Linked DNA regions of Arabidopsis thaliana. The protein of the gene in region 1 interacts with the protein of each later gene in a pairwise test. Each region holds a gene or a part of one and is shown on either strand. Other genes may lie near its edges.

The links.
Region 2: the proteins of AT4G22720 (region 1) and AT4G31430 interact in a two-hybrid assay, tested with the Arabidopsis thaliana proteins (one large-scale study listed by BioGRID).

The regions. Positions count from the first base shown.
Region 1 is NC_003075.7:11,935,358-11,939,573, reverse strand, and holds AT4G22720 (Actin-like ATPase superfamily protein), read right to left. Parts: upstream 2,633-4,216; 5' UTR 2,431-2,632; intron 2,134-2,430; 5' UTR 2,108-2,133; coding exon 1,550-2,107; intron 1,465-1,549; coding exon 1,309-1,464; intron 1,205-1,308; coding exon 857-1,204; 3' UTR 605-856; downstream 1-604. Other genes in the region: CYP706A2 (cytochrome P450, family 706, subfamily A, polypeptide 2), read right to left, coding at 2,956-4,216.
Region 2 is NC_003075.7:15,246,702-15,253,075, forward strand, and holds AT4G31430 (flocculation protein), read left to right. Parts: upstream 1-1,675; 5' UTR 1,676-1,808; coding exon 1,809-2,079; intron 2,080-2,413; coding exon 2,414-2,466; intron 2,467-2,615; coding exon 2,616-2,704; intron 2,705-2,867; coding exon 2,868-2,974; intron 2,975-3,053; coding exon 3,054-3,145; intron 3,146-3,579; coding exon 3,580-3,750; intron 3,751-4,007; coding exon 4,008-4,197; intron 4,198-4,291; coding exon 4,292-4,356; intron 4,357-4,459; coding exon 4,460-4,514; intron 4,515-4,604; coding exon 4,605-4,683; intron 4,684-4,793; coding exon 4,794-4,873; intron 4,874-4,953; coding exon 4,954-5,092; intron 5,093-5,169; coding exon 5,170-5,503; 3' UTR 5,504-5,858; downstream 5,859-6,374. Other genes in the region: AT4G31420 (Zinc finger protein 622), read right to left, coding at 1-29, 121-687, 958-1,062.

The DNA.
Region 1 (4,216 bases):
ACTAATAACTTTTGTCATTTTCTCCTTTTTCCCACGTCTTTTTGAATCTATATGATGTCTTTTAAAACTTTTGAAAATTTTATATTTAGTATGCATGCTTACTTACATAGTTACATGTATGAATGTTTTATCTAGAACTCTAGTCTCTAGAAGGATATCCACATTATGCTACAAAAGTAATATAAATATCGACCAAAATTTGTGTAGCCTATGTGTCAAGGTTCTGATTTACACTTGAAAATACGCAAATGAGTTCTAGATGATGGAAAAATGATACACTATATCTCGAATGTTTTTACAAAATTATTAGATAGAATTTATCTCTACGTCAAATTGAAATTTTTGACAACTTGTTGTTGCCTTTACAATTTTTATTAGCAAGATCAAGATTAGATCATTATGTATAAATTCTATTTACTCACTTTTCGTTTAATACGCAATGCCATAGAAGTGTCTTGTGATTAATTGAACCATCTCATACGTTCTACATTAAAAAGTTCTTACTTTTTACTTTTTAGTAGTGCTGTATTTTCACAGTTGTTTTTGTATGATTAAGGAAGACTAATGCACTAATCTCTCCACCATTCTCGGTAGAAATGTCGACTTTGAGATATCATATTTTTATTAAAGCAATAAAACAAATAGCGAAATGCAACACAAGAAACATTTGAACTTTTTACAAAGCTCACTTTGAAATTTGAAAGTGTTATTACATTCAAACCAAAAGATATCAATCATATAATTTGGCTAATAAAACACATTTAAAAGTCTTAACTACTTAGCAAAAACCAATTTATCGAGTAGAGAGAGATTCAATCTCAAATTTGATGAAAAATGAACAAAAATGGGGACAGACTCAATTCGCTGCAACTTTCTTATCCCCAAGTAGTACAGCTTCTTTCTCTCGCCACACCGCATGAACCTCGTCTGTGCGAAATCGTTGTGTAAAGGTAGAGTCTTCGATCGGTGTTTCAATACCATTAACAAACGCGAGTAGACCTGTGTAAGCGATCATAGCTCCATTATCGATGCAGTAACGGTCATCTGTTGCAAACAGCTTACCATCACGTTCTGAGCACATAGTCCTCATCATTTCCTGCAAACGCTCGTTACACCCAACACCGCCAACTATCAAAACGTCTTTCTTGTCACAATGCGCCATCGCTCTTTCTGTGATCTCAACCAACATCGCAAACACCGTCTCCTGCAAGATCAACAAACATGAATTCATGATATTACTCTTAAACAGTCCAAAATTTGCATTCATGTGACAAAATTCATCAGTTAAGAACCAAGTGATAGCCTTACTTGAAGGGAATAACACAAGTCTGCTGGTGTACACTCGTTATTCTTGAGCTTCTCCTCTGCAGTAGTTTCGATATAACTCAAGATTCCGCTGAACGATACATCCATACCTTTAACAGCATACGGAAGATCAATAAAGTTTTCTCCTTTCTTAGCAAGCTAGTAACAACACCAAAAACCGTGTTAACATTGTTCTTGAATCTTTCAAGAATTCAAATTTACTTTACTTTCAAATGAAATCTACCTGTTCAATGTTATAACCAGGGCTTGGATCATTAGAAAGCTTCAAGACTCTAGCAAACCGATCCAAACAATTACCAACAGCAATATCAATAGTCTCACCAAAAATCCGGTACCTACCTTCACTATAAGCAATCACCTGAGTGTTACCACCACTCACATACAACACAACAGGATCATCAGCTCCAGTAACTACTCTCCCCATCTCAATGTGAGCCACACAATGATTCACAGCAACAATTGGCTTTTTCCAAAGCTGTGACAATACTCTAACAACAATGGCTGAAACCTGCAACGGCGCTCCCATCCCGGGACCTTTCGTATAACAAATACAGTCGATTTCTTCAGGAGTAACTTGAGAAGTCTCTAAAGCTGATTTGACTAAAGGAAGAACATGGTCAAGATGGTGATGTGCAGTCTCTCTAGGAAGAAAACCATGACCAGGTGGTGTTATATACGTATGCCGAGGATTTGCTAAGATAGTACCGTCTAAAGTCACAATTCCAACTCCAATCTTGTTAGCTGATCCTTCGAAACCAATGGCTATCATCTTCTTCTTCATTTCTTTGATTTAAAAACAGAAACTTTCTACACAGAGAACAACAAATTCAGGACTAGGTGAAGTAAAAATCCAAACTTTATTCTGAATCAATTTGAACTAACACAAATTATAGCCTTAGACGTTGAAGATGATGAACAAAATTAATCCTTTCGTTGATTGGTATTGGTATTGAGAGAGACCCAACAAAGAGATTCGTATAACCTAGGTTTCGTTTCCTTAGATGAAAGAGCCCTAAACCCTAATCTAAACACAGAAACCAATTCCATTCGAGACACAACACACTGAACCCATGTACTGTTGTTTGATTTAAATCAAAAACTAACCTGAAGCTGCGTGATGGCCGGAATCAGAAGTAGCTCACAAGCTCAAAGCAAAACGAAATTAGCCAGAGAGTTTAAAGAAGAAAAAGACGGCGATAAAGTCGCCGGGAGAGAAACGACGATGTTGAGTTTCTAGACTGTGTAAACGGCGTCGTTTATAAATGGGCCTAGCCCAATAACGCATATTTTGCCGCTAAGAAGGACTCATTTAGTGTGACGTGAAGTATTTGTGATATAATTATACATTAATTAATTTAAATAATTACAATTTTAATTTGTAACCTTCATACTAATTTGTAATTTGTTGACCCAAGAATTTTAATCGACTTGCCAAAAATATAACTACAATATAGTTTTATAGCTTTGGCATCGACTATTAGGCGTTATTATTGTAAGTAAAACTTTGTTATATTAAATGTTATCAAAAATGTAACTTGACACATCTTTTATACAAAGCATCAAAACTCCAGACACAGATAAAGAAAAGTAAACTTTAAACAAGAAAACTCAATTCAACATCCTTCTTACTTAAGCTGTGTAGAGTTTTGGATCGGACAACCTTGGAACAGGAATAGCCACAAGTGGAGACTTCAACTTAAGAACAAGACCAAACTTCTCTTCAACCTCAAACTTCTGTCCTTGAGGAGCTTTCCAATCAAAAGAGTGAAGAAGTGAAGCAATGTTGAACAGAACAAGTCTCTCAGCCATGTTTATCGCCGCACAAATCCTCCTTCCTGACCCAAAAGGCAAATACTTAAAATCACCTCCATTGAAATCAAGCGAATTCTCCAAAAACCTCTCAGGTTTGAACTCGTTTGGTTCATCCCAATTCTTAGGATCTCTATGAATCGCCCAAACGTTGATGAAAATCTTGGAGTCTTTAGGCACAGTGTATCCCGCAACCACCGAGGTTTCGCTGTTTCTGTGAGGAACAAGAAGAGGAAGCGTAGGGTGAAGCCTAAGAGTCTCTTTCATAACCGCTTGTAGGTAAGGAAGCTTAGGTAAATGTGATTCCTCAACGATGTTGTCTTTGCCAACAACTTGGTCAAGTTCTAGTCGGATCTTGTTTAACACTTCCGGTCTGCTCACAATCTCTGCCATGGCGAATTCGGATGCGTTAACCGATGTGTCGACACCACCAAGAACCATATCCATGAGGAGAGACTTGACATGAGTCATGGACAGAGGAGCTTTCTCATCATCATCTTTAACTCTAAGTAAGTATTGCAAGAAATCTTCTTCTTCTTCGCTCTTCTTTCCCACCATTTTGACGTGACTCTCCATAACTCTATCGAACAAGAGATCAAGCTTCTTCACATGGCCTTTCATCTGCTTAACCAATCCTTGGAAATCGAATCTTGAGAACAACGGAAAGAAATCTGAGTAGTTTTGAATCCCTTCTATGTCGGAGATATCAGATATTAGGGTTTTGAGCTCGTTTCCTAAGCTCGTTCTCTCGTCTCCTTCAACAGTGGCGCCCCACATCATTCTTGTCACGACGTTGAAAATGGAAAGAAATATTTGCTCTCCGAGGTTGACTGGTGATCCTTCACGAGCCATTTCCGACATGTGGACAATGGTTTGTCGGGTTTCTTCCCGGCGAGTGGAGTAGGAAGCTTCGAGACTTGGGGTAGTGAACATCTTCATGACGCAGAGCTTACGAAGTCTCCTCCAATGGGTACCGTAAGGAGACCAGAGGATGTCTTCACCACCGTAAGTGTTGATCTTTCCGACTTCAGGGAGATCGTGGTTGGCGAAAGTGATGTCGTGGGTTTTGAGAACCTCGCGA
Region 2 (6,374 bases), 3.3 Mb from region 1:
CAGTACAGACACATGAAGTCTCTCTTGACCTAAATGATGAGCAATGTATAAGTAAACAGGAGTAAGAATTTCAAAGCTTGACAACAACGAACACTGAATGGTAAATTGATGAGTCCAAACCTTAAGACCAAGGTAAGTGAGAAGCCCTTCAGGATCCTTGAGATACTCAATATCGGGAATAAAGAAACCATGATGCTTATGCATGTGAAGCATACAGCTCTCTAAGGTCTTATGTTTTTTGTCACACATCAAACAGCAGGTTGGATCCAGCTCATACTTATCTGCATCACCATCATCATCCATATCTTCAGCAGATCCAGACTCATTCACATTCAACTTAGACAAAGAATCAGAGGCTTCTTCAGCAGCCAATTCCTCGTCAGAATCAACCTCCACCCATTCATCTTCACTATCATCATCAATGGAACCCCTGTGTTGAACACGGCGAGGAAGTTGCCTGATAATCGCTATATCCTCCTCTCCGTTGATTGATGTCCCTTGTGAAACCCGCAAAACATGGCTACGCGACTGAAGATGCTGCTCATGAGCCTTGGAACTCCTGTAACCTTTAGCACAGATTGCACAAGTATAAAGCATAGGTGCTTCATTTGATTTATTCTTCTCCTGAGCAAGAGCAGATTGTCTAGCCTCAAACAAGGCTTCTGTAACTCCAGGAACTCCAGCCACCTAACATAAAAAATTACAGAAATACAAAGATTCAAATGCCTAGAAGTAACCAAATCTATGATTATTGAAATCCTTGTTCCTTAGTAGAATAAGCTTCAAAACAAATTTTCATATAAACTCTACGATTCCATAACCTTAACTAAACAATTTCGATAGCAAAATGGAAAAGCTGTTTCTCAGAAACTTTCATCTCATCACCGACGCAAGATTTTCCCGAGAAACAGATAGGCTTGAGTTCAAATTCGATAGAGAAAGCAGAAGAAATGAAACCTTGCGCTTGAGATTGTAGCGGTGCCAATCGGATTTGTAATGAAGGTTACGTTCTTCTTCGTCCTTGAACTCCATGTTACACGCGTTACATGTTAAACCAGGCATCTTCTCTCCTTCAATATCGATCGATTCTAGAAATGGAAACTGGAGAAGAAAAGAAAATCAGAGAAAAGATAGTTGGGAGGATAAGATTTGTTGTTGATATGTGTAGAGCAACGACGGCTCGTAAATGGATCGGCGATCGTGTTTGTCTCTAAAAAAGCGTCGATTGATGATGATTGATTGCCATCAAAATGAAAAGGAAGGCGCCCCGCCCATTTTAGATCCGATCGGGTTGGAACTGACCCGTTCCTGACCCGATACAAGAGTAGCCCATTTGGCCCATTCTTTTAGCCTTTTTGTAACACTGACACAGTTGACGAATTAAGTATTACTGTATGAGTAACCAAAAAACATTTTTCTAATATTGTTTTTAAAATAACTACTTACAACTTGATTAATTACTTCGTTTAATCATGTAACTTTTTTTTCTTCCAAATTCTAATCTCTCTATTAAATTACTGCATTTATAAGATCTAAACATCATGTGATATGTTCAAAATATGAAAAGAGAAGAATATAATACATGATTTTACTACGATTAATTTTTTTTAATCGCAATGTTTTGTTTTTGCCTAATTTTATTAGTGGAAGAAATTTTAACCGCAGGCCTGTAATTTAGGAAACTAACTATTCACCCCCAATTAAAAAAAAAAACAAGAAGACGACAAATAACGAGAAATTACCAATTTTTCCTCAACACTTTCATTATTTCCTACAACGAACTTCTCCCTCCTCCTCTCACTTTCACCATGGATTCCGTCTCCGGTTACGCCGCCGGAGCAGGTCAGCCTCGAGTCGGTGGGAAAATTGTTCGACCACGACGCACCGCTGTTGTCAGGACGCCGTGTGAGCGCCCCGTTCAGAGATCCCGAGATCCTCCTCAGCAAAACCCTAGTTGGATCTCCAGGCTCGTTTACAAACCCGCCAGCGTAATTGCTTCCGGCGCCGGAAAATTCATTTCTTCCGTCGTCTTCTCCGACTCTTCCTCATCTTCGGAGGAGGACGAGGATTCATCTTCAGGTTTGTACCATTTATTTCAGTTTAGATAGGATTAATTTGAATTTTTGGTTTATTGTCTGGTCGAATCTGAAAGCTACCGTTTCGTTTGAAATGTGAAGTTTGACTTAAAGCTTTCCCATTTTCTCTTTCCTTTAATATGTGGGACTTAAGAGCAGTTAAGCATTGTTGTACTCTATTTAGTTAGGTTACTTCTAAGCTATAAACTTCATACTAATTCTAAAGCTCTAATTTTTATTCATATAATGTAGTTCTGGGATTGAGAATACCAACCAGCTTTGTTGTGTCTTATTCTTTTAATGTATGGATTTTTATATGTTTTCTTCTTTGTTTGCAGATATTGATGGTGATGAGGATGTTGAGAAGAACAATCCCGATTTTACTGAAGAGGTACTAACCACCTTGTTCGTTTTGGTGATTGCTATGCCACTGTAGTCCTATGATAATTGTTTGAAGTAAAGTTCGTGAAGCTAACACGTTTTCAACTGAGAGTTTTTTTTATAAAAGCATAATTTCAGTTTTTGTGCTTGTGTGAATAGGACCTTCTGAGTGCCCAGCAACCAAGCATTCAACGACTCAGTTCTAAGCGTGTAATTGAGCAGCTTCTCTTGCAAGAAACATTTGCAAGGTATTTCTCTGCCTGGCTTTTTGGACATCATAAGTAGCAGCCTCCTCGACTATTCTTATTATTTACACCTCATAGCTTAAAGAATCTTTCTGAGACGTGTGTAGTTACCAAATCTAAGCTGATCTTGTATCCTGCTTATTCATTCATGTGTATGTTGTTTCAGGGAAGAGGGTGATAGGTTAATAGATATCATCAAGGCTAGGGTTGTAGATCATCCCAGCGTCCCCTCTGCTATTGAGACGAGTCATGATGACTATGGATTGACAAGCGGTATGTTACTGATGGTAGACTGTGCAAGTAGACCGGATTAGTCTATGTGATAACGTCTTCTTTTCTATTTTATTTCTAGACGTGAATGTGGGTGAAATGTCCAATACAGCTGTCATGGAAGCAAGAAAATGGTTGGAGGAGAAGAAATCAGGATCAAGTTCAAAGTATAAAGTAAGTTCTGGAAACTTGCTTCTTAACTGTTCTAATTGCTGCAGCCTGCAGGTATCAACTTTTTTGTGATATCTTGTCTCCGTGCTCTAAGCCATTATTATTATAGAAGGAGACATCTTCTGTTTGGGTAAAATGATTTGATTGTTATATGCCAATCCATGTGATCAGCAACTTAAAGCTCTCTTGCAAAAGTAGGTTGTTCAGAATTCTGCGTGTGGCCATCTGGTGACGTTAATTCTGAAATGTCCTGATTGGGAAATACCTTTTTGTCCGCTTAAAATGCAAAAGATCCATATTGTTGCTCTTCTTTTGACTATGAAGACCATTTACTTACATGATTTTGGTCAACTTCTGATAGCTTCGCTTCACAGTATTCTTTTTCCATTGTACTTTAAATGATGATCACCATCTCAGCCATTAGTTTAAATCTCCAGGCAACTGAAGATGGTGCTGGATCGCCTGTGGACGTGGCCAAGTCTTATATGCGAGCTCGTCTGCCATGGGGATCTCCAGCTGCGAATAATTTAGATTTTCGATCACCATCATCAGCAAGAGTGCAAGGGACACCCCTTCCTTATAGCGCTGGAAACTTTTCCTCATCCAAGGTTAGAATTTTAAGTTCTCCAGCAGTGCATACTTTTCTTTTGGTCAAATGTTGTTTGAAAGTCTGAAGTCGTTTCATCTTGGTTTATGAGATAAAATTCTCTGCTTAACTTCTATTGTTTATGTTAGATAACCACGAGGAATTTGTGGGACACTATTTCCAGCTATTCCTAAAGAAAAGTTGCATACCGTTATATGTATTTTCAATGGCTCTCTCAAATTTACCCTTATTCATTCTGACATTGGTTACCAAATGCAGCTGAAAAGGAAGTCCGGTTCTAATCAGTCATGGAATATTCAAGATGAAATTCGCAAAGTCAGAGCTAAAGCAACCGAGGAAATGCTTAAAAGTCCCAGTAGTGTAGCCTCTTTGGAACCTAAATACAGCCCCTATGTTTTAGCGACTGATATGCTCAAAGGAAATGCTTCGTCTTTGAATGCTGATGGAGGTGTTTTTTTTCTTTCTTTATTCACACGTGGAAGAAGTTTTTCAGTAAGACATGAGTTGAAACTGAAATTAACTCTTCTTTTCTGTTCTTTCAGCTGTACGGAATGAACAAAGCAGAGCTCTACCAAATTCAGCCATACCTACCTCTGAGCACAATCAGGTATCAAGCACTCTTTACACTATGTGTCTCTCATTACCAAGAAAAAACTTGCAGTTCCAATCTTTCTTGTTTTGGTGTCCTTGTGTGTTTTACTTGAGTGAAGACTACGGAAGCTAATCAAGCCGTCAAAGAAACAGGAGTTTTACACACTAGATCTCGTTAGTTTCTCCCTTAATCCTTAATTTGTATACACTCTCTCATCTTCGCTTTTTATACTCTGTCTCATGGATTTAATGTGTTCTGATTAGGTGGAGTTGGTTTGGAGGAGACATTTATCTCCACACAAGGAGTCAAGCCATCTGAAGATACGAATACCGCTCCTCAAAGGTTCTTTTTATTGTGCTTATCCTTCCAACACAGATTGTACCTTGTTTCTTTTTGACAGATATGTTTTTTAGTATATCAATCTTCTGAAGTTTTTCAACTGTATGCGACAGTGGAACTGCTGTAGATGACTTCAATGATCAAGATGGCGATTTTATCCAACCTACTTCTACTATCGGAAACACCACAAATGGTATACATTGGATGTTGAATTCCTTTGGTTCTGATTTTTAGTTGGGTTCTCTTAATTTACTTGCGCTCCTATTGATGCAGCTGTCTTGGCTCTTGGGGCAACTTTGGATCCTACTGGGAACTCTTGCATCCCTAAAGATGTGTTTGAAACATCAAAAGAAGCTGATGAAATAGGCGCATCACGTCATACTTCTAACGGTTTCCCATCTTCATCACCTAGGTGAAAAGCAACTCCTTTGTCTGGCTAGTTTGACATGATGACATTATTTCCTCCTAAGCAAAGCCTTACTTTTTCAGTTCACCAGCGGTTATGGAAGGTCAACCAAAACCCACACCACCAGAAGAAACCAAGGCTTCTCAGCCTATAGCTGAAATTCATGGTGATGATATGACAGTAGGGAATGGCTCAGATGGTGCAATTAATAACGAAAGCAATGACAGCCACTCAAGTGCCTCTAACAGTTCAAGCACCCATGAAGAAGAGTGGCTCCCAGGAGACCAGTCTCTACCTAACTCAAACTCAGCAAGTAGCAGCCCGGGAAATACCAAGGTCTTGGCATACAGCAGAAGAGGAAGAGGCCGAGGTAGAGGAAGAGGCAGAGGAGGTCGAGGCAAAGGACGGGCCAAATAAACTTTGTAAGATGAGCTGTACACAACAAACACAATGCAGTAGGAGAGTATTATGATGAGGTAGGATTATGTGACATCTCTTTTAGATTTGAATCCCACTCTGTTTGTGTTTGGTCTTTGGTCACTTCGTTATCTTTTTAGGTTATCTTGTAGTATTTGAGTTAGGAGGATTTGTCTTGTCGAGTTATGTGGAATTGTGTCTCTGTTGTTTCTTTCATTTGTCTGAAATCTCTAATGTTTAATGTTGTAAGTTTGAAGCTTGGTTTCGTTCCAGCTGACGAAGCTTTGTAGTTTGCAGTTTCCATATGTTGAAACTCTTTTTCTTTTGTTCGATGCCAAATTTTTAAATCTTTTTTACTTGACCAAAAAGCCAACACCTAATTTTTTTGGGGGAAATCTCAAGTACTAACACCACTCATCTTTTAACCTCGTAAAGTGTCAAGTAAACAAATTCTGACATGATCCAATATTAGATGAGATCACTCAGATCAAAACATTGTAAGATGAATATAATCAAATGGGTTCAATCTAGTGTTACACAATCTCTTACCAAAGTACAAAAGCAATAACGAGCGAAAAGAAGAAACCCAATAACCAATTTTATCAAGACAGACAGAAAGAGAGAGAGAAAAAACAAAACAGACAGAAACAAAAGTGAAGAAAAACGAACAACAAAAACCCAATAAGCAGCGATCGAAGCTAAAATAAACACAGAAGAGCGAAAGCGCTCAGACATTCAAATCTGAAAAGCCATACGAAAGAAGAAGCCACGAAGATTCAATCGAAGCAGAAGTGTATTATTAAGAAGCCGAGAAATCATTGGGTTGGTGTCGGAACTCGGAAGTTACTTGTTTTGTTCCGATTTTTCTTTT